Linked DNA regions of Pelodiscus sinensis. The protein of the gene in region 1 interacts with the protein of each later gene in a biochemical or structural test. Links are inferred from orthologs where the notes say so. Each region holds a gene or a part of one and is shown in the gene's direction. Other genes may lie near its edges.

Region 1 (7,262 bases):
CAGTGCTAGCCAGTACAGCGCGTAAACAAACGCCGCAGGCAGGGCACTGCTGTGCACTCGCCGGGCGCCTCTATCACTCTCCTGCCTAGTGCAAGCTGCCCTGAGAGCACGTGCCCCGCCCCGCGCCGGGCTTTTTTCCACCGGCCCCGCCGCCACTGTCGTAAGGGGGCGTGGCCTTTGCGTTTTTACACCAATAGGAAATCACCTCATCTGCATAGCGCTAATTTGTTCAATACACGCTCCTTTGCGGGGCTCACAGCACGTGGCATGTGGTTTTGGGGGCCGGTGCTTTGGGGGGGGGGCTGTGCAGAGTCCGCAGGAGCTCTACACGCCCTTGCTTGGAAGTCACCCTGAGCGAGCGCGCACTGGCAGCCGCTGGGGGCCCGCGCTCGGGCTCCTCTCCGCAGTGATTTCAGCTCTTTTAGTATTTGTCTAGCAGGCTCTCTGCGCTGCCAGGGAGCCTCACTCCGCGGTGAATGTCAGACTGGGGCCGCTCGCGCTCTGCTGGGTGTGGGCGGCGGGGAGCGATGGGGGCTCCCGGGCTGCACCCCCAGCGCGAGATGCCTCCCGCCCACAGGCCCGGCAGCGCAGCCGCGCGGCCCCTGTCCCGCCCCGTCTGCTGCGGCCCCTCCCGGCCCCCTGACGTCAGCGGCGCCGGCTCGCGCCCGCGGTCCCGGCTGGCGCCTGCAGCGCCTCATGGCTGCCCCGGCCCCCGCCGCGCCGGGCTCGCTGAGCGCCGAGCAGGCCAAAGGTGAGGGCGGGTAGGAGCCCCCGCGCGCCCCGACTTGCGCCCCCCCCCCCGCAAATCGCGACTTGCACTGCAGAGCGGGGAAGGCGGGTCCCGGCCCAGCGGCCCCGCGCCCCATTGCCCTCGCAGCGCGCTGCACCCGGGGCGGGCTGGGCGGGGCTCACTGCTCTGCCTGTCTCCCCAGTGGCGCTGGCCGAGGTCATCAAGGCCTTCGGCTCCCCGGAGAACGCGCAGCGCATGGAGGAGGCCCGGGACAACGCCTGCAACGACATGGGCAAGATGCTGCAGTTCCTGCTGCCCGTGGCCACCCAGATCCAGCAGGACGTGATCAAAGCCTACGGCTTCAGCAGCGATGGGGAAGGTGGGTTCGCCGGGCCGGGGCAGAGCCGGGCTGCGGTGGTTTCCCTTTCCGGCCTTTGTGTCGGAGGCTCCCGCCGAGGGCAGGCAGCACAAAGCGGTGTGGGCCCGGGGAAAGGGCAGTGCAAGCAGCACTTTAGTGCAGCCGTTGGACCCACATGTGCAGTATTCTCCACCTGCAGCTCCTTTGTCTGGCCACAGGATGGTATCCTTGGAAAACCTACCGGGGGGGGGGGGGGTACTGGGGAATACTGTCACCAGCTAGATCTCTTCCCAGCAGTTTTCTTCCTTCCCCTTCTTTCTCTTAGGTGTCCTGAAATTTGCCCGACTGATAAAATCTTATGAGTCCCAGGATCCTGAGATTGCAAACATGTCTGGGAAGCTAAAAGCCATGTTCCTGCCTCCAATGACACTGCCCCCACACGGGGCTGGGACAGGGGGTGTGCCTGTCTCCTGAAAACCGGGACCCTCTGCTGGCCTTCTTGGGCCAAGTCATGCCACACTACATGCCTGTGAGAGTTTTTGACAAGTGGGATTCCAGGACTGCTCTCCACCACTCATCAGTGTGCTACAGTTTGCCAGAAGAGCCCCCTACTTCTTGGAAACTCTGCAGCAATTGGTTTCTTTGTGCATCTTTGTTTTTTGAGCTTGTGAATAAAAGCTGCTTTGAAAATGTCCCCATGTGTTTCTCAGTGAGTGTGTACCCAGTCTGGATCTTAGCGCTGCTTCCTGGGAAAGAGAGCACGCCCCACTGAATGTAAGGTAGAAGGGAGCTCTGGTTACCTCTCCCCTCCCCCTTATTGGTAATCCCCTAATCTGTGTAGTTCTGCCTTCAGGAGATAAGTACCTTGCATGAGCTAAATTTAAGGAAATCAAGATGTGTGGTATGGGGAATCGCAATCTTAGGCCTGGAAGCAGAAGGCTTGAAACCAATTGACACTTTCTAAACCTCCAACCTTGTAAATCCTACAGGGAGTGCTGTAGGCCAGGACATAAGGCAGCAGAGTGAAGGGGGCTCAGGACTGGAACATCAGGCATTTGGGGTGGGGCTCCGTGTATCTCTCAACCTGTCAAGGCTCCATTGTTCAATGCAATGGCTGGGTCTAGTTTAGAAAAGTAGATTGTGTTTAAAAATATTGCAGCAGGCACTTCTTCACTAACACATTTTTACACAGTAGTTTAGGCGTGTTTAACATAGTTAGAGGGATCTTAGGGTTTACCACCGCAAGCTTACGTGTTTTAAAAGGTGTCAAACTCTGTCTTCTTAAAAGATAACATTTAACAATGCATTGTTCAAAACATATTTGCTAAGGTATTTGTAAATACAATTTAGTCTTCTAGTCCAGGCAAGGTTAGACAAACAATATGTGACAAAGACCCCAAATAAGGGGAACAATAACATATTGATGCAGGAAATTTAAGAAGTTTCACAATTATTGAGCATGAAGGTCTTTATAATTCAGGGTTGGTCTACAGTAGAAAATAAGATTGATCTAGCTATGTTGCTCAGGGATGTAACGCCCTTAACTGACTTGGTTAAGCTAACCCAAGTCCCTGTGCAGGCAGCACTAGATTGATGGAAGAATTCTTCCATCACCCTACGTAATGCCTCTCAGGGAGGTGGATTTTCTGCAGTAATGACAGAATCCCCCCATTGCTGGTAAGGGTCTACCCCAGTAAGGGGCAACCTGGGCTGGTGAGTGGGCCGCATGAGAGATCCTCCTTCATCTCAGTGGGTCACAAAATTGTCCTAACCAAGACAGTCTCCCAGGATAGAGTTGTTTTGCAAACTGCACTAATGTAACTAGAATTTGTGGGGTGTGCCGATTGAACCACAGCAGTGCTTTGGCTGGATGCAGAGAGCGTGCACAGCTCTGTCAGTGTTGTCATGTGCAGTCAGCAGACGCCTCATGTCATGTGCCCTTGCTTTTCATGCGTGTCACTTTAGTAATACGAGTAGGGAAAAAGTGTGGACGAAAACCAGCAGAATCTCAATCCTGTGTGTGGGCAACAGTAAACAAAATGGCTCATGGGCCATGCACAGAATTCCAAAGGGCCTCAAGTTGTTCACAACTGGTCTGCACTGACCCAGGACAATAGCATTTTAAATGCAGACCTCCAGGTTGTCTTCAGGGGCTGATAAAAGGGACCTGTGGTAGGAGTAATCTGTAATATTTTATGTGTAGACATAGCTTCAACTTCATGATTCTGCATTTCTGGTGTAATCACTTTTTAAAAATAAAAGGGGGCACTAAATTTGTAGGGGATGTAGGTATTCTGGGATTTGAGTGACACTGGCAGGGCTGTTTGGGGAGCTGGATTAGCAGGGGGCTGCAGGGCAGGGCTGAGGGGCACTGGCAGGGCTGTGAGGGGAGCCCAGGGCTGGAATAGCAGGGACTGCAGGGCAGGGCTGAGGGGCACTGGCAGGGCTGTGAGGGGAACCCGGGGCTGCAGGGCAGGGCTGAGGGGCACTGGCAGGGCTGTGAGGGGAGCCCAGGACTGGAATAGCAGGGGGCTGCAGGGCAGGACTGAGGGGCACTGGCAGGGCTGTGAGGGGAGCCCAGGGCTGGAATAGCAGGGGGCTGCAGGGCAGGGCTGAGGGGCACTGGCAGGGCTGTGAGGGGAGCCCAGGACTGGAATAGCAGGGGGCTGCAGGGCAGGACTGAGAGGCACTGGCAGGGCTGTGAGGGGAGCCCAGGACTGGAATAGCAGGGGGCTGCAGGGCAGGACTGAGGGGCACTGGCGGGGCTGTGAGGGAAGCCCAGGGCTGGAATAGCAGGGGGCTGCAGGGCAGGGCTGAGGGGCACTGGCAGGGCTGTGAGGGGAGCCCGTGGCTGGAATAGCAGGGGGCTGCAGGGCAGGGCTGAGGGGCACTAGCAAGGCTGTGTGCGGAGCCTAGGATTGGAAGGGCCAGGAGCTGTGGCTCAGGTGGCTATTTCCAGATGACAGAGGAGTTTAATTTGTTTTTATCCTCTGTGATACTGTTAGTTCTCCAGGGAGGCTGAAGGTTTGGTGGGGAGGAGGCAGGGAGAACAGGCAGTGCCTACCTTGCTCACCTGCTCTCCTGCCCATGTGTCTCCTCCCCCACCCGCCTATTTATTTATTAACTACCGCTCAGGGAGAGATTTGCAAGTGGTGATCTGGGAAGCCCTTTGTACTGGGCCTGGTTGCCTCAGCTCAGGCTTCCTCATCTCTCTGCTCCAGCTCACCCTCAACTATTGTGACCATGTGAGGGAGGAAGTATTAGGGCTGGAGAGTAAGCGGCATTCAGAGCCTTACTGAATGGATTAGATGCAGGTGAGTCGGGAATCTTACTAGCCGTGATCTAGGTCCAGTTACCTTTTTGTTCCTGGCTCTATGAAATTAGCTATGCTTTCCCTCTGGGTGCTACATCCACCCCCATGCCTGAGTCTGTAATGAGCTTCAGTCCTGGGCCCCTCTCTCAGGAAATTCTTCCTGTTTCCTTGGTATCAGCAGCATTGTTTGTCTCCTTTTCAGTAGGGTCCTTGGGCTGAGGGTTCTCAGCGAGGATCCCTGTGACCAGGGGCCTGATGCCATCCTGTGGGTGAGTGTATTTCTCCAAGGGGTTTCTTGGCTGTAGGGTTTGTGATGGGAGAAAGAGCTGGGAAGTGAGAGGCAGATGTGGGGAAAGCAGCAATGGAGAGGGTGGGCAAGGGGGCTATAGGAGAGATGGGGGTCAGTACTGCTCACCCTAGCAAAAGTAAAGCTCGTTTGTTCCAAGGCACAGATGGGAAGGGACTGGCCCTTGTCCTAAAGCAAATCAAAGACAAAGCCATAATTTTGCCAGAGGCCAGGCCTCTCCCCACTTTAATTCACTGGCCCTGCTCCTCCTCTGGAAATGGAGCCCAGGAGTTTGGGCACTCGCCAGACATATTTGCTGTGCAGACTTCAGCAGACAGCACTGCAGGAAAGCACCTTCAGAAAGCTTCCTCTACAGCCAAGAGGGCTGGCAGCTGAATTGTTTAGAAACAGCTGCTGAAATTCTGTAATCTGCAGAAGGGTGTGGGTTCCACAGTGTCACGAATCATGGGGTCCCCTCCACATGGCTCCCAGGCTGACTTCTAAACCAGGATCAGTACCGCAAGAAATTAAAGTGCTGTAGAACTGTCAGAAGGGAATGAGGAGCCTTAATGAAGTCTCCTCTCCCTAGCTGCTCCCATGCCCATGGTACAGGAACACTGAGGCATAGCTCCAGTGCTGTCTTCCTGGCTGTCTTCCACTAATGTCCTTTCTCATCTGGAGGAAGGTCCAGGCAGAGTATGAACATAGGTAGCAATTGCCAGATCTGGTCTGTCCAGTTCAGTCTCCTGTCTCTGACAGTGGCCACAGTCAGCTGTGTTGGATGAAGGTGCAGAAAACCCCTTAGTTTATTGTTCAATAATGTGTTTCCACGAGGGGTTTCTTTCTTATCCATCTTGGTTCCTGGGTTATGATCAGAAGCAGGAGACATTCTATCCTTCTGTTTTCTCTGATCAAAAGTAAGTGTGAGGGTTCTGGTCATTCATATAACGTTCAGTCCTTTTATGAATCCTGCTATGCTCATCAAGCGGGGAACGAGGGGGCAGTTGCCCCCGGGCGCAATGCTAGAGGGTGCCAATTTAGTCCCCCTCTGTTCCCCCTGTCGTCCCTCAGCTCTCCTGCTCCTCCTCTGCCCACCGCCATTGGTTGGAGCCTCCTCTCCACCCCTAGCCTCACCTTCCTCCATGTCTGCCGATGGGTTAGTGTGTCTAGGGGCCTGGCCCCAGACGAGGGCACAGGGGAAAACACGGTACAAGCTCCCCCCCCGCCCAGGGTCGGGCTCAGTTGTGCACCTGATTTGGGGCCCCGCCGGGCAGAGGGGTGTGTGGGGTAATTTTGCTTTTGCCCCCGGGCACACAGCACCCTCACTCATGGGGTCAGAGAGACAAGGTGAGTGAGGTAATATGTGTTACTGGACTAGTTTCTGTTGGAGATAGAAGCAAACTTTTGAGCTGCTTTGCCAGAAGAGGAAACCTAAATGAAGTGCCAATTAGCATTTTCTCATGCTTCATTTGTGTAATCTCTTCCCATCCATTTTTGCACAAGAGGTTTTTGCACAAAAACATGCAGTGTGGACGGGGAGAGGCATAAGGATCTTGTGCAAAAAGGGTGTTTTGTGCAAAAAGGAAACGTCCACGCTGCATGTTTTTGCGCAAAAACCTCTTGCACAAAAACGGATTGGAAGAGATTACACAAATGAAGCACAAGAAAATGCTAATCAGCGCTTAATTTACATTGCCTCTTCTGGCAAAGTGCATAGTGTAGACGTAGCCCCAGTGTATACAGTGCTAGATCCACAGGAGAATTCTCCTGTCAACCCAGCCACTGCTTTTCTGGGAGATGGAATACGTATGCTGAGAAGAGAACTACAACCCGCTAACATAGGTAGCGTCTTTCTTCACTAAAGTGCTACAGTGGCAAAGTGACATGACTCAGAATTAAAGACTAGACAAGACCTAGAGAGAGAGATTTACTACACTGACAGAAAAACCCCTTCTGCCACTGTAGAATTTTCCCGGTGAGTGCTCCCATGGGGTTGGGCCTGTTGACGGAAGTGGCCACTGCAGCGGTGCTGGCAGTGTAGACATGGACTTTTTTTCATCGATGTAGATTAGCGGTTCCCAACCTTTTCCAGAGGGGGACCCATTCCGACAATTCAGGAAGACTTGGTGACCCAGGGCAATTCACAAAAAGTCTCCTGGGGAGACACCTGGTGACCCTTTTGAAATGTAATGGTGACCCATAGGTTGGGAAACCCTGATGTAGATAATAGGCAATTTGGGGCAGAGGCTGTACCTGTGTCTGATATGAACGTGTTGCCTAGCGCACTGCACTCCCAGTCTCTAGTCGCTGCCATACTGCTGCTGTGCCAGGTCTCTTTCTTGTCTCCTCTTACCTGTTACTTCTCTGAGCAGTCCCAGTCTTTTCAGACGTGAGAGAGTAGCTAGAGCAGAGCGCAGCATTGCAAGTGAGGGCAATCCCACTGATTGGCGTGACAGCACTGGGATAGGACCAGTATTTTTCTCCAGTCCATTGGGCTGTATCTTATAGCTTTGCTTCATGCTTTGATGGCTTCTGCCCACTAAGCAGAGGTTTTCATTGAGCCTCCGCAAGGACA
Region 2 (6,990 bases), on another chromosome or scaffold:
GCTGCTCCGCAGAGTCATCCACCTTGCCGATGCTGACACGGTCATCGAGAGGTTTGGCGCCCTGGGCTTCCCCAACTGCAGGGGGGCTGTTGATGGGACACACATCCCCATCCATGCCCCGGAACACCAGGCCTCCCTCTACATCAGCCAGAAGGGATACATTTCCGTTATCCTGCAGGCTGTCTCTGACCACCTGGGCCACTTTATGGACACTGATGTGGGCTGGTCCGGCAGAGCACATGATGCGTGGGTCTACCTCAACTCCTCTGTGTGCCAGAGGCCACACACCGGAACTTTCTTCCCTGACCACCACATCAGGGTCGGAGATGTGGACATGCCTGTCTGCCTGGTGGGGGATGTGGCCTATTCCCTACAGTCCTGGCTTATGAAGCCCTACATGGGACACCTGAACCCTTCCCGACAGGCATTTAATGCCAGGCTCAGCAGGGCCCGTATCATAGTGGAGGGTGCCTTTGGCCAGCTGAAGGCCCATTTTAGATGCCTCCTCACCCTCCTGGACCTCTCAGAGTGGAATATTCTGCATGTGGTGGCAGCGTGCTGTGTGCTGCATAATTTGTGCAAGGGAAAGGGGGAGGCTTTCCTTCCAGCCTGGATGGCAGAGGCCGATCACTTGGCCAGCCTGTACATGCAGCCCCACATGGCTGCCATCTGGGAGGCCCATCAGGAGGCTGTCTGTATCTGGGAGGCCCTGCGGGAGAGCTTCTACCTGAATGAGCACTAAAAGACTCCCTGGTGTGCCCCACTGTGGGCTTGAGCCTCATTCCTCTCTCATGTCCTTCCATGGACCCGTCCTTAACCCACCTTCCTGCTGTACAGTAAAAGACACATGTATTCAAGAAAACAAACTCTCTTTATTGAACAAAACTGGGGTGGGGGGCATGAAACTCAGGTGAGACTGGGCAAAGAAGGTGGGAGAGGAGAAGCGAGAAGGGGAGGGGGAAATGTGGGAGGAGGGAGTTGGAAGGGGGAGACAAGGGGAGGAAGGGGAACTGCCCCCTGTGGCCCTGGCATATGCCTGCCGCAGCGCCTTAATTTTCATCCAGACCCGATCCTGGGTTTGGATGTGGCCTTTGGTGGCCAGGCTGGCAGCCATCCGGCTGTAGACGGCCGTGTTCCTCCATCTAGTGCAGAGATCATGGAGGTTGGAGGCATCCCCTCAAACCTCAGTCAGGTCCATGATCTCCGCACTGGACCAGGAAGGCGCCCACCTTTTCAGGCCCCTGGCAGGCTCCTGAGAGCTGGCAGACTGGTCCTGAGGAGTGGTGAAGAGATGGCTGCCAGTTGCTTGCTGGCTCATGTTTGGGCCACTGGGTCAGGGGCAGCAAATACTGGCTCTGGGCTGGCAGGCCAGGAGCTAGCACAGGCACTGTGGCCAGACTCTACCCCTTTAAGGGCTCCAGGGAGAAGGGGAGGAGAGGAGTTTTCCTGGTTGGGGCCAGAGTGGCCAGCAGCGACTCTGGGAAGGGCTGGAAGCCCCCTATTTTGAAATAGCCCCTTTTCCGTGTCCACACAGCGCTTATTTCGAAATAGCAATTTTGAAATTGACGCTATTCCTAGTAGAATGAGGTTTACCAAGTTCAAAATAAGCCCTCCGCTATTTTGAATTAATTTCAAAATAGCAGTTGGCTCGTGTAGACGGTAATACAGTTATTTCGAAATAACGGCTGGGATACCCTCTGGGAATTAGCTTTTTGATGCTGGAGTGCCCCCTTCTGGCTGGTGTCTCCCCATGTCTCTGCACTCTGGGGCCCCCTTCTGGCCAGTGTCTCCCTGTGTCTCTGCACTTTGAGGTCCTCCCCCCGGGAACCTCAACCCCCTATGCCCTCCTTCCCTCAGTGACTCACTGCCAGTCTTCATCTAGCCCCTTACCTCAGGGGCAAGCTGCAGTCTGATAATTGGCAAGGGGGGTGTGGACCTGCTGCCTTTGCCTGCCCTTTTCTGCTTACCTGCTTCTCTGCAGCCCTAGTACACTCAGGCCTTGCTACAGGCTCTGCCACCTGGAAGCTTGCCTGGCCAGAGCTCCCCACCTTGCTTGCCTTTCCCCAGCCCTGCACTAACTACAGCCCTAGTATCTTCAGGCCTTGTCTCAGGCCCTGTGGCTTGCGAGTGAGGTTCGGCCAGAGCTCCCCAGCTCTGCCTGCCTCTTCCCAGCCCTGCTCTGTCTCAGGAAGCCCCCAGCTTCCCTTGCAGCCAGGTCCCTCCTTCTCCCCAGCTGGAGCAAGAGTGTCTCTGTGTCCTCCCTCCAGGAGCCCTTATTTATACAGCCCCAGCTGGGCCCGAATTGGCTGCCATATGCTTCCGCTGCTTGCTCCACAGCTCCAGCCCTCTTCCAGGGCTGGGTTTTAGCCCTTAAATAACCAGTGCAGGCAGATGCCCCCTCACAACCTCCATAACTAAATTTGAGTTAAGGTTGCCAGATGGTCTCCCAAAAAATACCGGACAAGTGGTATTTTTTGGTCGAGCAAAAAAAAAAAAAAAAAAAAAGAGGAACAAGGGATAATAAGCCCTCCCTCCTCCCGTTCTGGGGCACCCAGAGAGGCAATCACAACCCTGCCTCCTAGCTGGGACTTCCAGGCTGGGAGGCGGGGCCACGATTGGCGCTGGAAGCCTGTGATTGCACAGAAGCCTTGTGGAGGACGGGGAGGGGCTGGGACTCCCAGCCATTCCCCCCGCCCCTGTCAGGCTTCTGTGCAATCACAGGCTCCCAGCGCCAATCGTGGCCCCGCCTTCTAGCCAACCCCCTGCCCATGCCAGGTTTCCGTCCAGTGCACATCCGGAAAATTCAGAGTATACCGGACGTTGCACATGCCCGGTATTCCCTGATGTTGTTTACTGGACAAAGAGTGCAAATACTGGACTATCCGGTAGAATACCAGACACCTGGCAACCCTAAGTTGAGTTCCTAGAGTTCCTACACACACAGTAATGGAAAACCTTTGCACTGTCCTCCAACTGTCCCCAGGAGAGACATCCTGTGCAAACCTTATGCCATATACGGGTCATAAATACAGAGCTGAGGACAGAAATGCCAGTCCCCTGGAAAAGGGAGTAGGGGCTCAACACAGGCATCTCCAGGAATGGGCAGGGTAGGGCCTTGGGTGGGAGGTGCAGACTGGTAGTTAGTCTCCCTCCATCGGCCCTTTTTGCGCTGCCCAGACTGCATGGTTTGGGATGCCGGCAGCCATTTAAAAGGGCCTGGAGCATTGCAATGGCAGGGAGCCTCAGAGGCCTTTTTAAATCACCAGCCCCCCCAGGGCAACTGCTCCCTTTGTCTGTCCCCCCCCAGCAAGCTGGAGTAAGCATATGAGAATGCCACACTGCTAATTATATGGAGATATACCTATGTCATAGAGCTAGAAGAGACCTTGGGAGGTCATCAAATTGAGTCCAGTGCTCAGCCCTCATGGCAGGACCAAGTGCCATCCCTGACAGACTTGCCCCAGACCCTGAAATGGCCCCCTCAGGGATTGACCTCACAACCCTGGGTTTAGCAGGTCAATGCTCAAACCTCTGAGCTATCCCTCCCCCAATTGCTAAAATTAGACCTGAGAATCAGAACAAGGATTCTGATGTGTGCATTGTAATATGTTCATATGATATACGTGTACGGGAGAGAGGGAATCAATGTGACATTTGAGGCCTTGAGTTGTGCTAAAGAAGGTTCCCTTAACTAGGCATTTTCTTGGTTTTCAAGGGATGGCACAAACTGAATCCAACCCCCACAGCCTTTTCTGGTGGTGGGAATATAGATGCACATGTGTACATTCCCACATAATTCTCCACAGCCAATGTACCAGTCTACTGGTATGGACATCTCATGAAAAAAACCCAACACGCTCCCCAGATTAAAGCATGCAAACTAGAGCTCATAAGGATTACAGTTATATTCAGTAGGCAGCATACTTCAAATGTGTTGCTGTGCTTCCTTGTTTACTTATTTAGATTCAGATAAAGGAAGTGGTGAGACTGAATCGCTGACAAGTTTTCTGAGAAGAGACCATTTTGTACTTAGAGGAAGCAGTTGCTCTCTTGGATATTGTTGCACCATAACTCAGAAATAAAAAGCAAGACGGTTTAACAAAAGCCTGGGGCATTTATTAGGCAAGTGGATTGTTGAATTTACTGGAGGTAGCCACAGGCTGGAAATCTATGGCTCTCTCATTAATACTCCTGGCATGAAAATTCTGTAGCTGATTAGGAAAGAAGAACAGAAATGGATTTACAAAACCTTCCCTATCGCTCAATGGTGATTGCTTGGAGCCCAGATGACCTGGCAGACTACTTCAAGAAAGTAAGTTGTGTTGTGTTTTGTCCTAGTATGGAGGAGTAGCAAGGTGCTTTAACACTTCTGTGCTCTTGCTCCCTCTTCCCCCCACAAAAAACTTTTTACCCTAAGAGCCGAATTTGCTACATACATCATATAAAATCATCTTTTTTGAATAATCATGGCAGATGCACTTCAGAAAGTCATTATACCTGCCCTGGTTTAATGAAGTCCTTAATGAATCCTGAAAAATGTATTCTAAATTAATAGCAAGAGAAATCAATTGTTTCTTGGGAAAAAAAAATGCTATAATCTTTGGTACCAATGCCTTGCTATGTTACATTCAGTTTGGATCCGTAAAAGTTAAGAGTTAAGGAAGCTAAACATAGTAAACCTATTTTTTAAGGTAGGAAAGTTTTATATGCAGATCTCATAAGGCCTCTCCAATGAAATTATTCCTATGACTTTCATAATTAAAGACCCTCACTAATGAAGATGCACACATGAACTCTGCTCTGGACTGAATTGCTTTCCTAATTAGCATTACAAAGGCTTGTTATGTGACAGGGCTTGGTTTAAAATCGATAGTGTTTAGCAGAGGTGACATTCTCAATCTACGGGTCGCTCCAGACGTTCCAATCTTTTGAACAAGGATGTCAGAGCAAAAGAGCTGCTGAACCTGGTTAGGTGGACACACAAAAGAGTTTGTTGGCATCTGGACTGGGGTTTTTAGAAGGGAGTTGGGTGCCCAGATTCAAGGAGAGTTGATCTGAGTCATGGACAGCCGTCCTTTTGAAGTGAGGTGATGAACTAAGACTCCCATGCTAGCTGGAAAATGAGACCTGGAAGCGATTTTGTCTGGTTGAGCTCACACAAACAATGCAGAACACTTCCTTGTGATGTTGTAGTTGGGTGAGGAGGACAGGAACTGTGCCTAAGGAAAATGATTCCTTTGTAGCATAGGGGGAGAAATGAGAAACATTCTTTCCTCCAAAATAAATAGAATACATAGAATATTATCCCTTCCCGAGCTCAATGCAGCTGCTTTTATTTGTAGATTGCCTGTGTTGATATTTTGTCTTTGAAATTGAAAGCCTTTACCAATAATAATATCCATAGCGATAATCATAATTCTTTGGAGAGGCAGGTTTCAATAAAAAGAGATTCTGCTACCCACTGCCTCTTCCTGCCTCAGGATCCCCACTGACCTTCCTCCACATCTCAGAAAGATCCCTCATCTCATTTCCTCATCTGTTCTGTTCTGCTGAGGTGGTTGGGCTTCTGACACTTCCCCCCTTCTCTATCTATAGCTTTTCCTCAAATGCACTAGCCTGGATATTGCTGGTTCTTTTAACTTTCACTTTGCAGAGCAGAGGATTTTGCACGCCGAGGTGTGGAGGGGCATTTAAAATGGCGTATTGGGGTGCATTTGTAGGAGCATTGCCAGCAGAGCTAGAGAAGTGATTATTCCCCTTTATTCCACACTGGTGAAGCCACATCTGGAGTATTGTGTTCAGTTCTGGGCCCCACTACAGAAAGGATGTGGATGCATTGGAGAGAGTCCAGTGGAGGCAACAAAAGGGATTCTGGGGCTGGAGCACATGACCTATGAGGAGAGGCTGAGGGATTTGGGTTTATTTAATCTACAGAAAAGAAGAATGGGGGGAATTTGATACAGGGCTGGCCTTATCATGAGGCAAACTGAGGCGGCCGCCTCAGGTTCCAGACTGTGTGTGTGTGGGGAGGGCGGTGCCACTAGGACTCAGAGTGTAGAAGGGGGTGTCACTAGGACCCAGAGTGTAGAAAATTGTCTCTGCTGCCGATGCATATGTAGATAGCAGAGCAGTCCCATGAGAGAAGTAGAACAGGAAGAAGGCAGAATTGAGACCTTTCAAAGTTTTGGCCCACGCGAGGGGACAAGGAGGTGTTATTTGAGCTCCCCGTCTCAAGTGCCAAAATGTTGTGGGCCAGCCCTGATTTGATAGCAGCCTTCAACTACCTGAAGGGAGTGGGTCCAAAGAGGCTGGAGAGAGGCTGTTCTCAGTGGTGACAGATGACAGAACAACGAGCAACAGTGTCAAGTTGCAGTGGGGGAGGTCTAGGTTGGATCTTAGGAAGAACTATTTCCCTAGGAAGATGGTGAAATACTGGAATAGGCTACCTACTGAGGTGGTGGAATCTCCATCCCTAGAGGTTTTTAAGTTCTGGTTTGACAAAGCCCTGGCTAGGATGATTGAGTTGGGATTGGTCTTACTTTGGGCAGGGGGCTGGACTCAATGACCTCCTGAGGTCTCTTGCAACCCTGGGATTCTATGATTCTAAAAGAATAGGCAAAACTCAGTGCTGATTTGCTCCCTGGTATCTCACTGATGCTAGGAAAACTGCATAGGCTATAGGTAAATGTTGAGTTTGGTCCATTTTTACAGCATCTTAAATATATTCAGTTGTACATTCATTTTCCATCATTTCCCCCAGATTTTAATAGTCATCTACACTTACTTGTGTTACCATGCTGACTATAGTGCATGTTCACAACAAATTCCAAAACCTTCATTACAGTGCAGAAAGGTCAATCCAAAAGGTTTGTGAAGACTTTCGCACCATTTCAGCAACCCAGTTTCAAGTGGATATGATCAACCGGGGACAGTTTATTATTTGGTATTGAAACCATGCAAAATTCATGGTTTCAATCGCTTTCACTGGGT
Region 3 (7,217 bases), on another chromosome or scaffold:
TGTTCAGGGTCCACTTAATGTGGACATGCTAGTTCGAATTAGCAAAATGCTAATTCGAACTAGTTTTTAGTTCTAGACGCGTTAGTTCGAATTAGCTTAGTTCGAATTAGCGCTGTAGTGTAGACGTACCCTTATTCTTGTGATGTACGTCAGATCAATCAAAAGTTTTATTATTTTATTGAAGTTTATATGCAGATAGAAATGTCCTCTCCCAAAAATGTAATTTAAAGAAAATACCGGAGGAGTTGACTTAGTCTCCCTGGGTATGTCTACACTACAAAGTTAATTCGAACTAACGAACGTTAATTCGAATTAACTTTGATAGGTGCTACACTAGCGCTCCGCTAGTTCAAACTTAATTCGAACTAGCGGAGCGCTTAGTTCGAACTAGGTAAACCTCATTGTACGAGGACTAAGCCTAGTTCGAATTAAGGGGTGTGTAGCCCCTTAATTTGAACTAGTGGGAGGTTAGCCCTCCCCAGCTTTCCCTGGTGGCCACTCTGGCCAATACCGGGGAAACTCTATTGCCCCACTCCGAGCCCCGGAACCCTTAAAGGGGCACGGGCTGGCTACGGTGCCCGTGCCAGGTGCAAGCCTGCCAGCACCCAGCCAGCAGTCCCTGCACTTGGCACGGCTTGAGCCAGCCACCCGATGTCCCCCAGGCCTCCCCCTCTTCCCGGGACCAGGCTGGCGGCTCCCGGGACCTTCCCCAGGACCGCAAGAGTCGGGCACCCGCCTGGTCCAGTGTAGACATCGTGGACCTCGTCCATGACCTCCGCACTAGGCACAGGAAAGCGGCCGTCTAGGGCAGGAGAGCTGCCAGCCTGGCCACCCAGGAGCAGGTTTGCATGCAAATCAAGGTGGTCCACTGAGACCCCCCGACCCTGAGCCTTGAGCTTAGAATGGCCGTACTGGGTCAAATCAAAGGTCCATCTAGCCCAGTAGCCTGTCTGCTGACAGCAGCCAACCCTAGGGATCCTGGAGGGGATGGACCAAAGACAGTGACCAAGCCATTTGTCTCGTGCCATCCATCTCCAGCCTTCCACAAACTTCGGGCAGGAACACCACTCCTACCCCCTGGCTAATACCACTCCATGGACCCAACCTCCATGACTTGATCTAACTTCTCTTTAAACTCTGTTCTAGTTCTATCCTTCACAGCCTCCTGCAGCAAGGAGTTCCACAGGTTGACTATTTGCTTTGTGAAGAACAACTTTCTGTTATAGGTTTGAAGCCTGCTACCCATTCATTTCATTTGGTGTCCCCTAGTCCTTCTATTATGGGAACTAATGAAGAACTTTTCTGTATGCACCCTCTCCACCCCACTCATGCTTTTATAGACCTCTATCATATCCCCCCTCCATCTCCTCTTTTCTAAGCTGAAAAGTCCCAGTCTCTTTAGCCTCTCTTCATATGAGACCTGTTCCAAACCCCTCATCATTGTAGTTGCCCTCCCCTCTCCCACCCTCTCTCCTCCCCTCTCCCACCTCCTTTTCCCAGTCTCCCCCAGGTTTGTTCAATAAAGAAAGATTCTATTTTTGAACACAATTGTCCTTTATTTTGTACATCAGGAAGGGGGGCTAGGGAGGAATAAGTGGAAGGAGATAAGGGAGGAATGGGGTACGAGCCCCCAATGGGGAGGACTGGGCTGGCTCTGTGGGCTTCTGGGGGTGGAACCTCTCCTGCAGCCCCCCAATTGCCCTCTTTCCCCAGATGGCAGCCTGCGGCAAGTGCAGCCGGTCTGATGGCCAAGTGGTGTGATGTGCCCAGTGTGGGTACTCCGGGCAATCCAAGCCCGGACTGCTTTGCAAGCGGGGCACTCCTGAGAACTGTCTGTCCGAGGTGGGGGTCGGGTCCCTTTAATCACAGCCCTCGGCTCGCCTGAGACAGCAGCTCCACGCTCTAAGTCCTCATCTGATGCCCTGCCGGCACTGCTTCCGGCCATCCTTAACCCCGGTTCAGGGTCCACTCTGTGTGGACATGCTAGTTCGAATTAGCAAAACGCTAATTCGAACTAGTTTTTTAGTCTGGATGCATTAGTTCGAATTAGCTTAGTTCGAACTAAGTTTGAATTAGCGCCGTAGTGTAGACATACCCACATAGATTTAATCATCTTTGTAATTACTTATTTAGATTTGTAGACATGCAAAACATTTGGTCTGGAAGAAATCCCAGTAGGATTTTTCATGACCTGTAACAGAACCTGTATCCAGAACAGGATGTAAAGGTCTGACTTGATCTCCAGCAAGAAGTTAATTCTTTACTCAGACCTGACACAGAATGGAAGGAAGTAGCAGGGCTAGTGTTTGAAGGCCCCAATCAGTCACGGAGGAAATGATACAAAAATACACCTAGAAGAGGCAGAATGCTTTTTGAAGGCAGAGTTCCACAATCACTGTTCACAAGACTGAGCTGTAAATAAGATGGGTTGTTTCTCTATATTTTCTTGTTATGCTAAGCTATATTGGTCTTTATACACAGTATCCTCAGGAATGAAAAAACCTTGGGGAAGAATAACTTTTTTGCAAATATTTTCAAATTCACTGCACTGGGTTACTAACTGAAATGTCTTACTACAACCTTGAAGAGGATTTCCATGCTCAGAGGTAACAAAGGGGAAAGTTACAGTACCCTGCAGTTTGTAAGAACTAATCTATTTTCTTAATATAGATTGCAGACTATAAACTCACAAAGGTTTTATCAAGAAGTTTAGAACCTTTATTTTCTGCTTAAGAGTCCACTGAAAAGACAATTTTTATAATAGAGTATCATGTATGTAATAACACAAGACATATCTTTAAGAATAGGATATAGTTTTTATAGATCCAGTAAAGACTGTATCTATGCACTTGACATCTGATGCTGGAAAACTCTTTAAGGACTAAAATGGCAATATCGCTTTAAGATTATAGGGACAAATGAATTTAAATATGCATTTTATAGATTAGATATATAAGGAGTCTGAGACACCCTCTTCCTCAGTTGGAGTGAATAGACATAAATTGAAAATATTTTGCTATTAAAATGCCCTCCAAAATTAGTTTTGAGGTTGACTCCTGGTGAAAAATGTGATTTTAAAGAATGCTATTTGATTTTTTAAATATAATATTATTCAGTTTCCAGCTATCTACCAATAGAGACCAGTGTTCTAAGATGAAAGTAGAGAAATTGAGACAGCCATTTTATACATACAAGACAAAGACAAGACTTTGATCTAAAGACTGTCCTGCCCAGATGGGAGGTTAGAAGGAATGACAGTTTTAGAAGGAAAAAAAGAAAAGAAAATGAATAACTTATTTTCAATAACTCTTCTGATCTTTACTGACACACTTGAAAGTAAGCTCACATTGATTCTAAAAACTTAACCTGTCTCCCTCAATACATGCGGATGCATAATAAACAATATTTTAGGGGTTTCAATTCTCTTTAGCTTTTTGACAGTTTTCCTTCACACGGCCCAATTGTGTCTTTTCTCTCTCTGGATGTCTAACAACATAAAAAAGTTATTTCCGCATGGGAGTGCCTTATAGAAATGAGTAGGATGTTGTCTGGGTTATCTGGTGCTGAGTGGAATTTCAGTGCTGTTAAACGTGTCTGTTTATGTATACACATGATCTGTTCGCCAGCGTGTGTGTGTACGTGTGTCTATACCTTTGGGCAAGGATTCTCCCCTCCCCTTTTTTTCACGGCTGTAGAGATATTTGATCCCATTGTATGGCTCAGGTTCTTTCTGAAGGGAAAGAGGCTTTGTTTAGCTGTAGCTCTGCTTGTTAAGGAATGAGTTCCCCCTCCAGAGCCCAGTCCTGCCCAGCGCTCCCTGCAGGGTGCAGGCTAACCCTGGTGTGGAGAAGCCCCATTACCTACACAGAGGCTACACGCAGGATTGATGCCGATTCCATAACCATATCCCAGTGGCCCTCCGTTTAGCGAGTGTCGGGGCTGGAAGCTGTGACCAAGCTGCCGGCTGGTCGCTTCTCAGTGCAGCGCAGCGCCCCGCCGCTGGCTTTAGGCGGGCTCCCGGGCTGCTCCCCGCGCTCCGCAGCGTCCGAGAGCTCGTCCTGATAACGTGTGAGGCCCCTCTGGCTGACACCCGGCGTCACGCGACACCGAGTGTCCGACCCGCCCCCCCCCCCCCCAGCCCCCTCGGGCAGTGGCTCAAAGGGAGGGGCCCGGCGGGAACTGGATGAGCCTGACTGGGGGAGCCCAGCCGAGACGCCCGAGCGAGCAGCGGCCCGGGCCGGGGGGGCGTGGCTGGAGGAGGAGCAGGTTGGCGGTGGCGCTGCGCTCCCTCCACCACTGCCGAGGCTGCCGCTGCCGCGGTGTCTGAGCGCTCCGGAGGCTCGTGGCAGCGCCGGGCGCGAGGAGCAGCATGGAAGGGTCCTGCCTGGCCTGGGAGCTGGCGGGCGCCGTGCTGCTGCCGCTGCTGCTGGGCTTTCCAACAGGTGGGGCTGTGCCGCGCGGGGGCTCCGCGCTCCTCCGCCTGCTTCGTGCGCGGGGGGGACGGTGCATCCAGGAACCGGGGAGGGAAGGGGCAGCACGCACCGGCTTCTCCGCTCCCTGCGCGGGGCTGGCAGCGCGGCCGGTGTGGAGGAGTTTGGGGATAAAGGCAACTCCTAATGCACCTCCGCCTGGGCCGAACTGAACAGCCAGTAGCCGGCGGAAAACACGTCAAGCCGGCTCCCTCCTTCCAGCACCTGTGCGCCTCTCTGCCGAGGCAGAGGAGAGTGGCGGCCTTGCCTATCCCCCCCCCCCCCCGGTAAAGACACCCCAGCTGTGTTTAGTGTGAAAACTCTGGCTGCAAACAGTCGGAACAGCGGGTCGCACGGAGGGGCAGGTTCCTCCCGCTATTCCGAAGTCCCTCCCGCTCCCGGGGGCTGGGGCTTTGGCTTTGTTGCGCTGCGGTGAGTGCTGCTGCCCTGCGTTTCAGTTGCAGGAACTTTGCGAAGCTTTGCTTAGTTTGGCCCGCCAATGAGTCGCTTGAGCGCGAGTTTTGGAGACGCGTGAGCAGTGCTTTCTGCTGGCAGAGTTGCATTGGTTTTGGAGGGGCAGCAGGGTAGCCTGAGAGCTACCGAAGTGTCTCATTGGGGGACTGACCAGGGAGTCAAAATAATCATTGCTGTTGAGCCAGTGGAATCCGCATTTTTGTTCATATTCCCCATTCGAGGTCTGGCTGCGCGCCCCGGTAGAGGTGCTGCCCATAGTCAGGGAAAAGGGGCGGTAGTTAATCCAGATTTGTTCCGAGAACTGTTATCTGCCGGGGAGAGGGGTTTTGCATCTGATTACTGTTTTGTCAGTAAAACTATCTCTCCATCAGTACAAAACGTCCCTGTGGTTAGATTGCTGTTAACCGAAATAGTAACGAGAAATGCTTCCAAGAGCCGCAGTCCGGTGTAGCCCCAGTGGCGAAGTTGTAAGTAAAGTATAGCAGACCTTTTCGTGCGGTCGCTGATTTCCATCTTTTTTTCTCCCATTTAACTGCTCTCCGGAATGAACCGTTTCATGGCTGAATTTAGTAGCGCATCTCCTAGTCAAAGTGGTTTTGCGTTTTGTTAGTCTTGTGCGAGGCAAGTTTTTCATCTGTTCTTTCCCAGTAAGAAAACCTACCAAACCCTCTTTTGAAGGAGGTTGTTCTTGTACCGGGCTTGTGGATTTTTAGGTCCTTTCACCCATGCCATACAGGACTGTCCTAAAGAACTGAATTGATGGTAATTGAACCAATGGGGCAGCACCAATGCATGTTTATCATGCCATTGTCATGCTAATATATTGCCCTTTTATTTGGACAAGTCACTCCGACTTGGCATTTAGCAATTCCTGTCACCTTCATTCATGCTAAATTTTACCCTATTCTGCAGGTAGTCCAGCTGAAGTACACGGGGGTAATTTGTAGCGGAAGGAATGTAGTCAATTCCGAAAAGGTTGCAAAATCAGTCTCAGCTAGCATATGTGTGAAACCTGAGCAGTTGCCATCATCTGGATTTAAATTGTATAGAAGGTCAGACAGTGTCAAACCCAAGTCAAATTACCGATGTCATCTGTCAGTGCAGTAACTGCAATATGTCAGGCTGACAGAGATGAGATTTCCCCATCAAAATATTTAATCAAAAACATGTAGGAGAGAAGCTATCAAATATTCTCAGAGACACAAATTCATCCCTAGGATAACTAATGGTTTATAGGAGTTGCACCAGGGATGAATACAGTTCACCATTTGTATGAGCACTGGAAACCTGACAATATAAAAAAGCTAATGGTGGAGGAAAGCAGTGGATGGTGACAAAACATGAGTGGTGATGGAACTCAGTTCTAACAATTTTTTAAAGAAGTGGTCTTGCAAATAACCCTCTCTGGCCCAGCGATTCTTTAATTTGTCCACAATGGAATGAGATAGAGAGACAGACAGACTGACTCTGTAGACATGGATAGTGCACTAGGAGTGGCAGTCTCTCTCATGCCGTTCACTGAATTTTACAGTTATTTAGCCACAATGGAAAAGCTTCAGCAGGACCGAGTAAGAGAGATTTTCCTATAGCTCAGTGGTTAGGGCACTTAGTAGCAGACTGCTTCCCCTGGAAAACTTGAACCATGAGTCTGCCATATCCCAAGTGAGTACTCTAACCACTGGGCTAAAAATTATGAGAGGGTTGTCCTCTTGCTGCCCTTTTACCCTCAGGCTACTTAAAAAAATGGCATAGGTGCCTGACACCAAGAGAGGGGTAGTAGCTGAGGGCTTGTCTACACTAGGAATGTTAAAATATGTGTGTGTGTTTTGGTAAACATGTAACTTCTGAAATGTTCAGTGGCTACACAATAACACATGTGGGGCGGGAGAGACAGTTTCATGGGAGCCAGCTTAAAAATCAGCTCCCTATGCATGCTGACTCCTGCCTGCCCCCTACACTGCTGCCTCTGTATCAGAGGCAGCAATGTGGAAGGCAGGTAGGCATCTCTCTGGCTGTCAGTGTTGGCTCCCTGCGAGCGCTGGCTCCTGCCTGCTCCCCCTACCAATCAATGTTGCTGTCTTTGTATCAGAGGCAGCAGTGTGTGTGGGGGGGCGGAGGGCATGGCAGCAGCACGGGAGGGAGCTTATGTGTAACCCTGAAGGTTAACTGATGAGCCTAGGCTCATTGGTTAATGTACACAATCATATCCCTAGTCTACACTTACAGTGCTGTCGCTGCACTTGTGCAGGCTGCTATGCTGCTGAAGCACTTAGG
Region 4 (7,811 bases), on another chromosome or scaffold:
AAGGCTCACATCTCTGGCTTCCTAACAACTCATTAGAGGCTGAGGGAGCTGCAAGCCCTTTTAAGTACTTTTATTTAAAGGTCTTTCCAGCACCTGGCAGGCAACCCTAGCTACTTGGGGAACACAAGAGTCCTTTAAAGAGAAACAGCTGAAAGGGCTTGCAGCTCCCCATGCCTCTAGCACATTGCCTGAGACGCAGGTTCCCTTTGAGCTGTTTCTGTTTAAAGGTCTCTCCTGTTCCCCTGGGCTCCCCATGGCGCTAGAGCATTGCCAGACTGAGAGCCCTTTCAGCTGTTTCTATTTAAAGGGCTTGTGCCTCCCCTACAGTTGCTAGACAAGGCGTGGGGAAGACAGGAGCCCTTTAAACAGAAGCAGTTTGAAGGGCTCATGCCCCTCTCCTGTTCCGAGGCAACAAGCTAGGGGGCAGGGCCGGAAAGTGCCTTGCGGGCTGGTTCCAGCCTGCTGAGAGACTTTTGCCCACCCCTGACCTAATATCATAGGGCACAGGACTGGGACCGGGACTCCTAGGTGCCACCACAATACAAATTATTAATAATTTATTAGTATATAAGAATCACCTCAGATAAGCAAATCTAAATATATTCTGGTCTTATCTTTTTTTATGGACTTAGACGCAACTGGCCACCTGTAGACTATATCCTGAGGGCAGGGGTGTGTATAGAATTTGACTGCTTTTGTACGGGCAGGTTCTGGGCCCCTGCCAAAGCCCCAGAGGAGTTTGTGTTCCCAACGCAGCCCTGGGGCCAGAGGAGTTCTATGTGCTTGCCGATTACTGGCAGGACCCATGACTCTGCTTGCATTGGGCCTCCCCTCACTTTGTCCATGGCCCTGCTTGAGGTACCTCATGAAAGGTACCTCAGCACTGCGGTATATTGAAAACTATATTAAAACTACAAGATGTACCCAGTGTTGCTTGAGTCCTTAACTCATTTTTGTTTTTTTGAAAATGAAATGAAAACGTACCTACAGGCAGTCCCCGGGTTACGTACAAGATAGGGACTGTAGGTTTGTTCTTAAGTTGAATCTGTATGTAAGTCGGAACTGGTGTCCAGATTCAGCCGCTGCTGAAACTGATCAGTTTCAACAGCGGCTGAATCTGGACGCCAGTTCTGACTTACATACAGATTCAACTTACGAACCCCAGGCATCCCCAAGTCAGCTGCTGCTCAAACTGATCAGCGGCTGATTCCAGGAAGCCAAGGGGCAGGGGCTTCCTGTAGTCAGCCACTGGTCAGTTTCAGCAGCGGCTGACTTGGGGACTCCTGGGGCAGAGCAGCTGGGGTGCTGCCGGGTTGGTCCAGTAGCGCCAAGGAATGGTGCTGCGGGACCAACCGGCAGCGCCCCACCTGCTCTACCACAGGCCCGGGGCTCTGCTCCACGTCTCCCTGGTCTGCTGGGGGGGGGCACTAGCTGCGCCCCCCCCAGCAGACCAGGGACACGGGGAGCAAAGCCGCAGCGGCGGCGGGGTGCCGCGCCTCTGAGGCTTTGCTCTGGCAAAGCCTCAGAGGCGCGGGACCCTCCGCCTCCCGGCTTTGCTCCAGGTGTCCCTGGTCTACTGGAGACGGTCCCCAGCAGACCAGAGGCACCGAGAGCAAAGCGGCAGCGGCGGTGGGGTGCCGCGCCTCTGAGGCTTTGCTCTGGCAAAGCCTCAGAGGCGCGGGACTCCACCGCCGCTGCTGCTGCCGCTTTGCTTCCGGTGCCTCTGGTCTGCTGGGGACCGTCTCCAGCAGACTAGGGACACTGGGAGCAAAGCCGCAGCGGCGGCAGAGTCCCGCGCCTCCCCTGCTTTGCCAGAGCAAAGCCTCAGAGGCGTGGGACCCCTCCGCCTCCTCGGCTTTGCTCCAGGTGTCCCTGGTCTCTGGAGATGGTCCCCAGCAGACCAGGGGCACCCGGAGCAGCTTTTCTCGCCCCAGAGGTCGAGGTGGTGAGACCGCTGCGCTCTGGGCGGTCCCGCTGCCTGCGAGCTCCGGGGCGAGAGATCCCCGTTCGTAAGTGCGGATCCGACTTAAGTCGGATCCGCGTAACTCGGGGACTGCCTGTACTACATTTAAATCATTGCTCTGGGGTCGGGCTAGGGTTGAGGGGTTACCCCTGGGACAGAGGACTACCCCAGTCCTCTCTCACTGCAGCAGCTTGGAGCCAGGTGAGAAGCACCTCTCCATGGCTGCTGCAGCTGTAGCAGGAACAGCCATGGAAGGTGTGCATGTCCCTCAGCTGGGGCAGGTCCAAGTTCATCTGCCCCCTGCATTCCTCAGCCAGAGTGAGGAATGCAGCAAACTGCACTTTCCCCTTGCTAGCTGACAAAGAGGAACAGCCTGCAATGTTCCCATTCAAATGGTGGGGGTGAGCTTTAGGCCCCCTGCCCAGCTGATAGGTGCCTAGGAGGTGGGAGGTTCAGAGCTGGGGCAGTTCCAGAGGGAGGTAGGGGGTGGTGCAGCCAATCCTTTTCTCCTGCCTGGTGATTCTGTTTCTTTTCTGTGTGGTTTTATGAGAAGCAATCCCATTCCTGGCACAACCAAACCCTTATATTCCTTTAAGTTATGATAAGAGGAAGCTGCATACCAAATTTGCTGGTTCTCACTATTACCATTTAGGAGGAGTTCTTCACAGGCACATGAACAAACAGACACAAACTTTCTCAAATATATACAGGTTGGATCTCTCTTATCTGGCACCCTTAGAACCAGACTGATCCCGGATGAGGAGTTTACCAGACAATGGGAGGTCCCCTGACACCAGCCCCTCAGCCTGCTGCCCCTCCCTGCTGCCAGCTCCTTTAGTCAGGCTGGGCTGTCTGCAGGCCAGCCCCAGCTCCAGCTCCGCTGCTAGCTCACCAGGCAGCTACAGCCGCACTGCTGAACAGCATGTTGCCTTGGGTTGCTGCAGCCCCAGTCCCGCTTGGAGTGGCACCTGGCCAGCATCCCCTCTCGGGCTGCTGCAGCCACAGTCCTGGCCCTGCTGCCAGGTGGCAGGCAACCCCCATCACACTGCTGCTATCACCACTGCCACCTCCCAGGCTGACATGGCCCGGCCAGGCTTCCCCTCCTGGGCTGCTGTGGTCCCGGCCCTTCTGCTGGGCAGCAGACAATCCTGATTACACTCTGCCTAGGCTGCTGCAGCCCCACTACTAGAAAACTCCTGGGGCTATACTGGGCTCCCAGCTGCTGGCCCTCCTGCCCCAGGGAGCTCTCATCCAGGAACAACTGTGGTCATGCTGGACCACGGATGTTGCCGGATGAGAGAATCCCGGATTTGGGAGATGCAACCTGTAGTAGATTATAAACTATCACTCTAGATGCAAGACAGGGGGCTCTGCAGAGAAGTGTGTGTGATGTGGTCCTACCAGGAGCAGTCAGTCTGCAAAGAGCAGCAAAGAGCTTGGTCAGGGAACTTGCTTTTCTCTAGGAAGCTTTGAGTCTCTCTATTTTGGGGTTTTTGCATATGTGGCTTCTGCAGTCAAACAGTAAAGCAGGGCTGTATTTCAAGCCCCCGGCAGAGTATTTTATACTTTATATCTAACTTCTTGGTGTGTATATGGCAAACGTAACAATCAACAGCTTGACCAATGCTGAGGACTTTGAAGCGGCACGAGAGGATTGCAGAGCTGCTCCAGGGTCAGGCTGGGAGGAGCTGCGGAAGGGAAGGAGTGAGCTGTGTTCCACAAAGGGCTTCACTTGGCACATTCAGATACTTGGTTTCTTTTTAAATTGAATATTTTGGCCCTGATTTTGGTCTGAGCATCACCAGTCTTCTCTGGTGTCGTGGACACAAAGTTACAAATACAATTACACCAATTTAGGTGCTTGACTAACAGATTGTGCTTGATTATTTTCAAATTAATTAATGTCTACACAGATGATATTGCAGGGATAATGAATTGCATATGGAGTTTTATACCCTACAGTTACTGGAGGTCATTTTAGAAAATAGAACTTTCTACATTTTAATGTCTGTTGATCTCCCTTAGAATGTTTTAAAGCAAGCTACTCAGGAAAGGTTTGTGTCTTTGGGCTTGTCCACATATAGGCTTGTGTCAGTTTAATTCAACTGGTTTAGTTAATTCTGGATAAATCCCTGTGTGGCTAAGCCTATATTTATCTGGGTTAAATTAAATATTTCAGTTTAGTTTATATATGTCCTAATATATTTAAGAGAGACCAAAATAAGGCACTTTCTAATGGAAATAAGTGTCCATTCAGCCTTTTGCAACAGTACATAATCACAGCTTAAGTTAAACTGGTGAAACTCGGCGGATAGACAAGCCCTTTGTATGTGTTTGCAAAGTACCTAGCAAAATGTTTGGTGAGGCTTCCTTTTGCTACCAAATATAGATATTTTAAAAACAGTGATAATTACAACATCAATACTTTTAAAATTTAATTGGATCAGTAGACAATCTATTGTCATTACATGCACAACCCAACCAAACTTTTCAACACAGATGAGTTTTGGGTTTATATGTGACATCATGTATCATATTTGGAAACAGTTATTGAAAATAGTCTTAGCTATCATGGTCGTGCTGGCCAGTGTGGATTATTTGTTAAAGATGTTTTAAGTCATTCTTCACAACCCCAGTGAGCACAGCTGTGTTACCTCAAGCCATTTTTAAAAACAGTGCTTAAAAATGGTTTTTCTCATAAGAGAAAATATAAACAGGGCTCCTCTTTCTCTCTCTTATGTTCTTCCGCTTTCATCATAATACATTGATAAGATCACTTCACGTAGTTTTTCTTTTCACTTCAGTGATAAGGAGTCATGCGACCTTTTGGTCGGCACCTTTGTCTGAGTGGTTTAATAAGAAACTATTGAATAGATGTTGCACAATTTCAAGTAATCCAGGAAGCCCCAAAGTCATAGAATGGATGGATTATAAAGAAGGATTTTACTAACATTGAAATGCAGTTTTCTATCTGGCATCTAGAATCCAAGGAATCTGTAAGACTTGAAACAAGAAAAGTAGAAGACTGCCTGAGGAAAAGAAGTAGCTCAAGTTATGAGGAACATTAATTTGTGGAAGCCTAAGCTACTCACTCTTCTTTCTGTTTACTGCCTATGGATTTCTACAGTACATTGTACTTTCTTGATTAACTGTCAGAATTTATGTACAAGTGGCCTGGTAAGTTTTGTAAAAACTATTCTTAACTTTTAGTTATATGATGGTTGTTACCACAGTTAACTATTTCTAATGAAAACTGCTTTTTTTGAAATTGTGTGTAAAGACTTATGTGGACAAAACGGTGGTCTAAAATGATGTTTTAAAAATTGAGTTTGCAGTGGAGAAGGATATTGTACTTATTAAAGGGAAACCCCAGTTAATCATACCCCATTTGAATTTTATTTCTCTTTTGTTACAATGACATCAGATTATTATAACTTGAGAAGACTACAGGAAAAAATAACAGCTACTTATTTTAGTTTTTTTTTTATTGATTGTCTAATGTACACCTTTTACTGTAAAATTAGCTAGCCGGTAGACCTTCTAAGTGGATGGGTCTTTCGCACAGCAACATGGAAGAATAAAACATTTTAAAAATTGGAAAATGTAATTGTAAACATCACAGCAATTGGCAGGGGACTCTAAAACTTTCAAATTGTTGGTGTCTCTTTAAGTAGGAGAGTGGGTTGTTGTATCTTTAATCTTATGTTTTCATAGTGTTCCTTTGGGTAGTGAAGTGGAATTTATTTGTTTTCCTTCTGTTGATGCATAAAGATGATAAGCCCAGTTGCTTACTGAAAACTGATCAATAATTATGCTTCAAATTTTATTGTTATTTGGCTTGTAGTATGTCAATAGATCTTGTCTAGAAGACCATGTTCTTGTGCTCTGTAGAAGTGACTGTGTGTGTTTTCTGGCTAATTAGCTCTGTCAGTAATACTGAAAAACATACTGATTATGGACATGAAATGTACAAGATGGATGTACCAGGTACACAGTCTTATTAAAATGTCCAATCTTTAAAACCTGTTCCAGATGCATACAAGAACCCTGGAAGCAGTGAAAGGATTACTCATCTTTCTTGCAACAGGCTTAAGATGTAGTAGTATCCCTAACAAGGATTCTTTGATTCATAGGCTCTGATTTCTCTGTCTGCCAGGGGGTACTTGATTCCCCACTTCAGGCCCTGCCCACACTCCTTCCATTCCCCCAAACCCTTACCCTGCTTCTTCCCAACCCTGCTCCACCTCCACTCTGCCTCCTCCTCCAAGCATGCCCAGTACCTGCTCCTTCCCCTCCCTCCTGGAGCTTGACCATCAGGAAGCAGTGAGAGGGAGGAGTGGATGAGCACAGGGCTGCTAGTGTGCAAGAGGTGCAAGGGGGAGAGGAGGGCAGGAGAGGAGCTTGCGCTGGTCGGTGCTATGCACCCATTAATTTTTCCCTGAGGCTGTCCAGCCCCAGAGCACCCACAGAGTTGGTGCCTATGATTCACTCTTCATAGTAACTTCAAAAGCCAAACATTTGACATCCATATTCAATATGTAACTTTGGGTATGTCTACACTAGCTCGTTAATTCTAGCTAGGTAGGCAAATTAGGCGACCAGAGTTGTAAATGAAGCCCAGGATTTAAATATCCCGGGCTTTATTTGCATGTTACAGTCCGGTCACCATTTTGAAATTTCACTAACCCGAACTCACTGCTGCGTGTCTACACGCGGCAGTGAAACGTTAATTCGAACTAAGTCCTTAGTTTGAATTAACTGTTACTCCTCGTGGAATATTTCAATCCCGGGCTTCATTGGCAACTCCAGTCGCCTCATTTGCCTACCTAGCTCGAATTAATGAGCTACTGTAGACATACCCTTAGAAATATTATGACAGAGACCGAAATGAGAAAAAGCCATCCTCGAAGCAGTTCAACGCTTCCATTTCCCCTCAGTCCAAAGGTAACCTGTGTGACCACACCTGCTGTGGCACTGATTTGCATCAGGCAGAGGTTCTTAACCATTGCCACACTATATACCTTTTATTCTGCAAATTCTAATGCATGTTCAACTTTTCTTATGAGAGTAGCACCATGCTTAGGGGTCAGCACATGTCATAAGTGTTTGTAAGATCACAGCCCATGACCCCACATTGAGCTACTCAAGGCTGGTTTGAGCCATTCCACAATCAATTACACTTCTAAAAGGTTGCCTGATCTTGTACACTTCCACCATGGTGCTCTGGGAATAGGAACCATAGATCTGAAGCACTTTTCATACCAGAAGAGAATCAGTTTTCACATGGCCAGATACAGCCATTTCAGGAGGAAGCCAGAGGAAAAGCATTTAATTTAAAGAAACAAAATCTGAAATGTGCACTTTGAAAGTCATACTCTGTTGGACTTGTGCCATTTGTGCCCCAGGTTTGTTTTTTATGCCTTTATTATTGGCTCAGTAAATCTGAATAAATTGGAGAGGGCTCAGAGAAGAACCATAGGAATGATTAAAGGACTGGAAAATGTGCTTTATAGGAGCTCAATCTATGTAGCTTAGCAAAGAGAAGGTTAATCACAGTCTATAAATATTGACACAGGGAATAGGAATTTGATAGTGGAATCCTTAGTTTAGCAGACAACGGTATAGCAAGACCCAGTAGCTAAAAGTTGAAGATAGGCCAATTCAGACTGAAAATAAGGCATAAAAAAGGTTAAGAGTGAAGGTATTTAACGAGAAATAGCTGTGTTAGTCTGATCTTGGTAAAACAAAACAAAAAAACCAGTCATGTAGCACTTTAAAGATTAACAGGATGGTTTATTATGGTCTGCCCCGCCTAATAAACCATCTTGTTAGTCTTTAAAGTGCTACA

Evidence for each region.
Region 2: the proteins of PTPN6 (region 1) and LCP2 form a complex in vitro, tested with the Homo sapiens proteins (2 studies listed by BioGRID). The link is inferred for Pelodiscus sinensis from reciprocal best matches to the Homo sapiens genes PTPN6 and LCP2.
Region 3: the proteins of PTPN6 (region 1) and KIT form a complex in vitro, tested with the Homo sapiens proteins (2 studies listed by BioGRID). The link is inferred for Pelodiscus sinensis from reciprocal best matches to the Homo sapiens genes PTPN6 and KIT.
Region 4: of the proteins of PTPN6 (region 1) and ROS1, one has a biochemical effect on the other in vitro, tested with the Homo sapiens proteins (2 studies listed by BioGRID and IntAct). The link is inferred for Pelodiscus sinensis from reciprocal best matches to the Homo sapiens genes PTPN6 and ROS1.

The regions. Positions count from the first base shown.
Region 1 is NC_134711.1:138,130,716-138,137,977, reverse strand, and holds the start of PTPN6 (tyrosine-protein phosphatase non-receptor type 6), read left to right. Parts: upstream 1-4,247; 5' UTR 4,248-4,402; intron 4,403-4,603; 5' UTR 4,604-4,656; coding exon 4,657-4,670; intron 4,671-7,262. Other genes in the region: C1H12orf57 (protein C10), read left to right, coding at 697-751, 933-1,109, 1,414-1,562. UniProt on the Homo sapiens protein: Tyrosine phosphatase enzyme that plays important roles in controlling immune signaling pathways and fundamental physiological processes such as hematopoiesis.
Region 2 is NC_134727.1:6,090,960-6,097,949, forward strand, and holds the start of LCP2 (lymphocyte cytosolic protein 2), read left to right. Parts: upstream 1-3,982; 5' UTR 3,983-4,234; coding exon 4,235-4,312; intron 4,313-6,990. UniProt on the Homo sapiens protein: Adapter protein primarily involved in signaling pathways within T-cells, as well as other immune cells such as platelets, mast cells, and natural killer (NK) cells.
Region 3 is NC_134715.1:85,355,131-85,362,347, reverse strand, and holds the start of KIT (mast/stem cell growth factor receptor Kit), read left to right. Parts: upstream 1-4,196; 5' UTR 4,197-4,369; coding exon 4,370-4,442; intron 4,443-7,217. UniProt on the Homo sapiens protein: Tyrosine-protein kinase that acts as a cell-surface receptor for the cytokine KITLG/SCF and plays an essential role in the regulation of cell survival and proliferation, hematopoiesis, stem cell maintenance, gametogenesis, mast cell development, migration and function, and in melanogenesis.
Region 4 is NC_134713.1:83,887,391-83,895,201, reverse strand, and holds the start of ROS1 (proto-oncogene tyrosine-protein kinase ROS), read left to right. Parts: upstream 1-4,809; 5' UTR 4,810-5,017; coding exon 5,018-5,140; intron 5,141-7,811. UniProt on the Homo sapiens protein: Receptor tyrosine kinase (RTK) that plays a role in epithelial cell differentiation and regionalization of the proximal epididymal epithelium. NELL2 is an endogenous ligand for ROS1.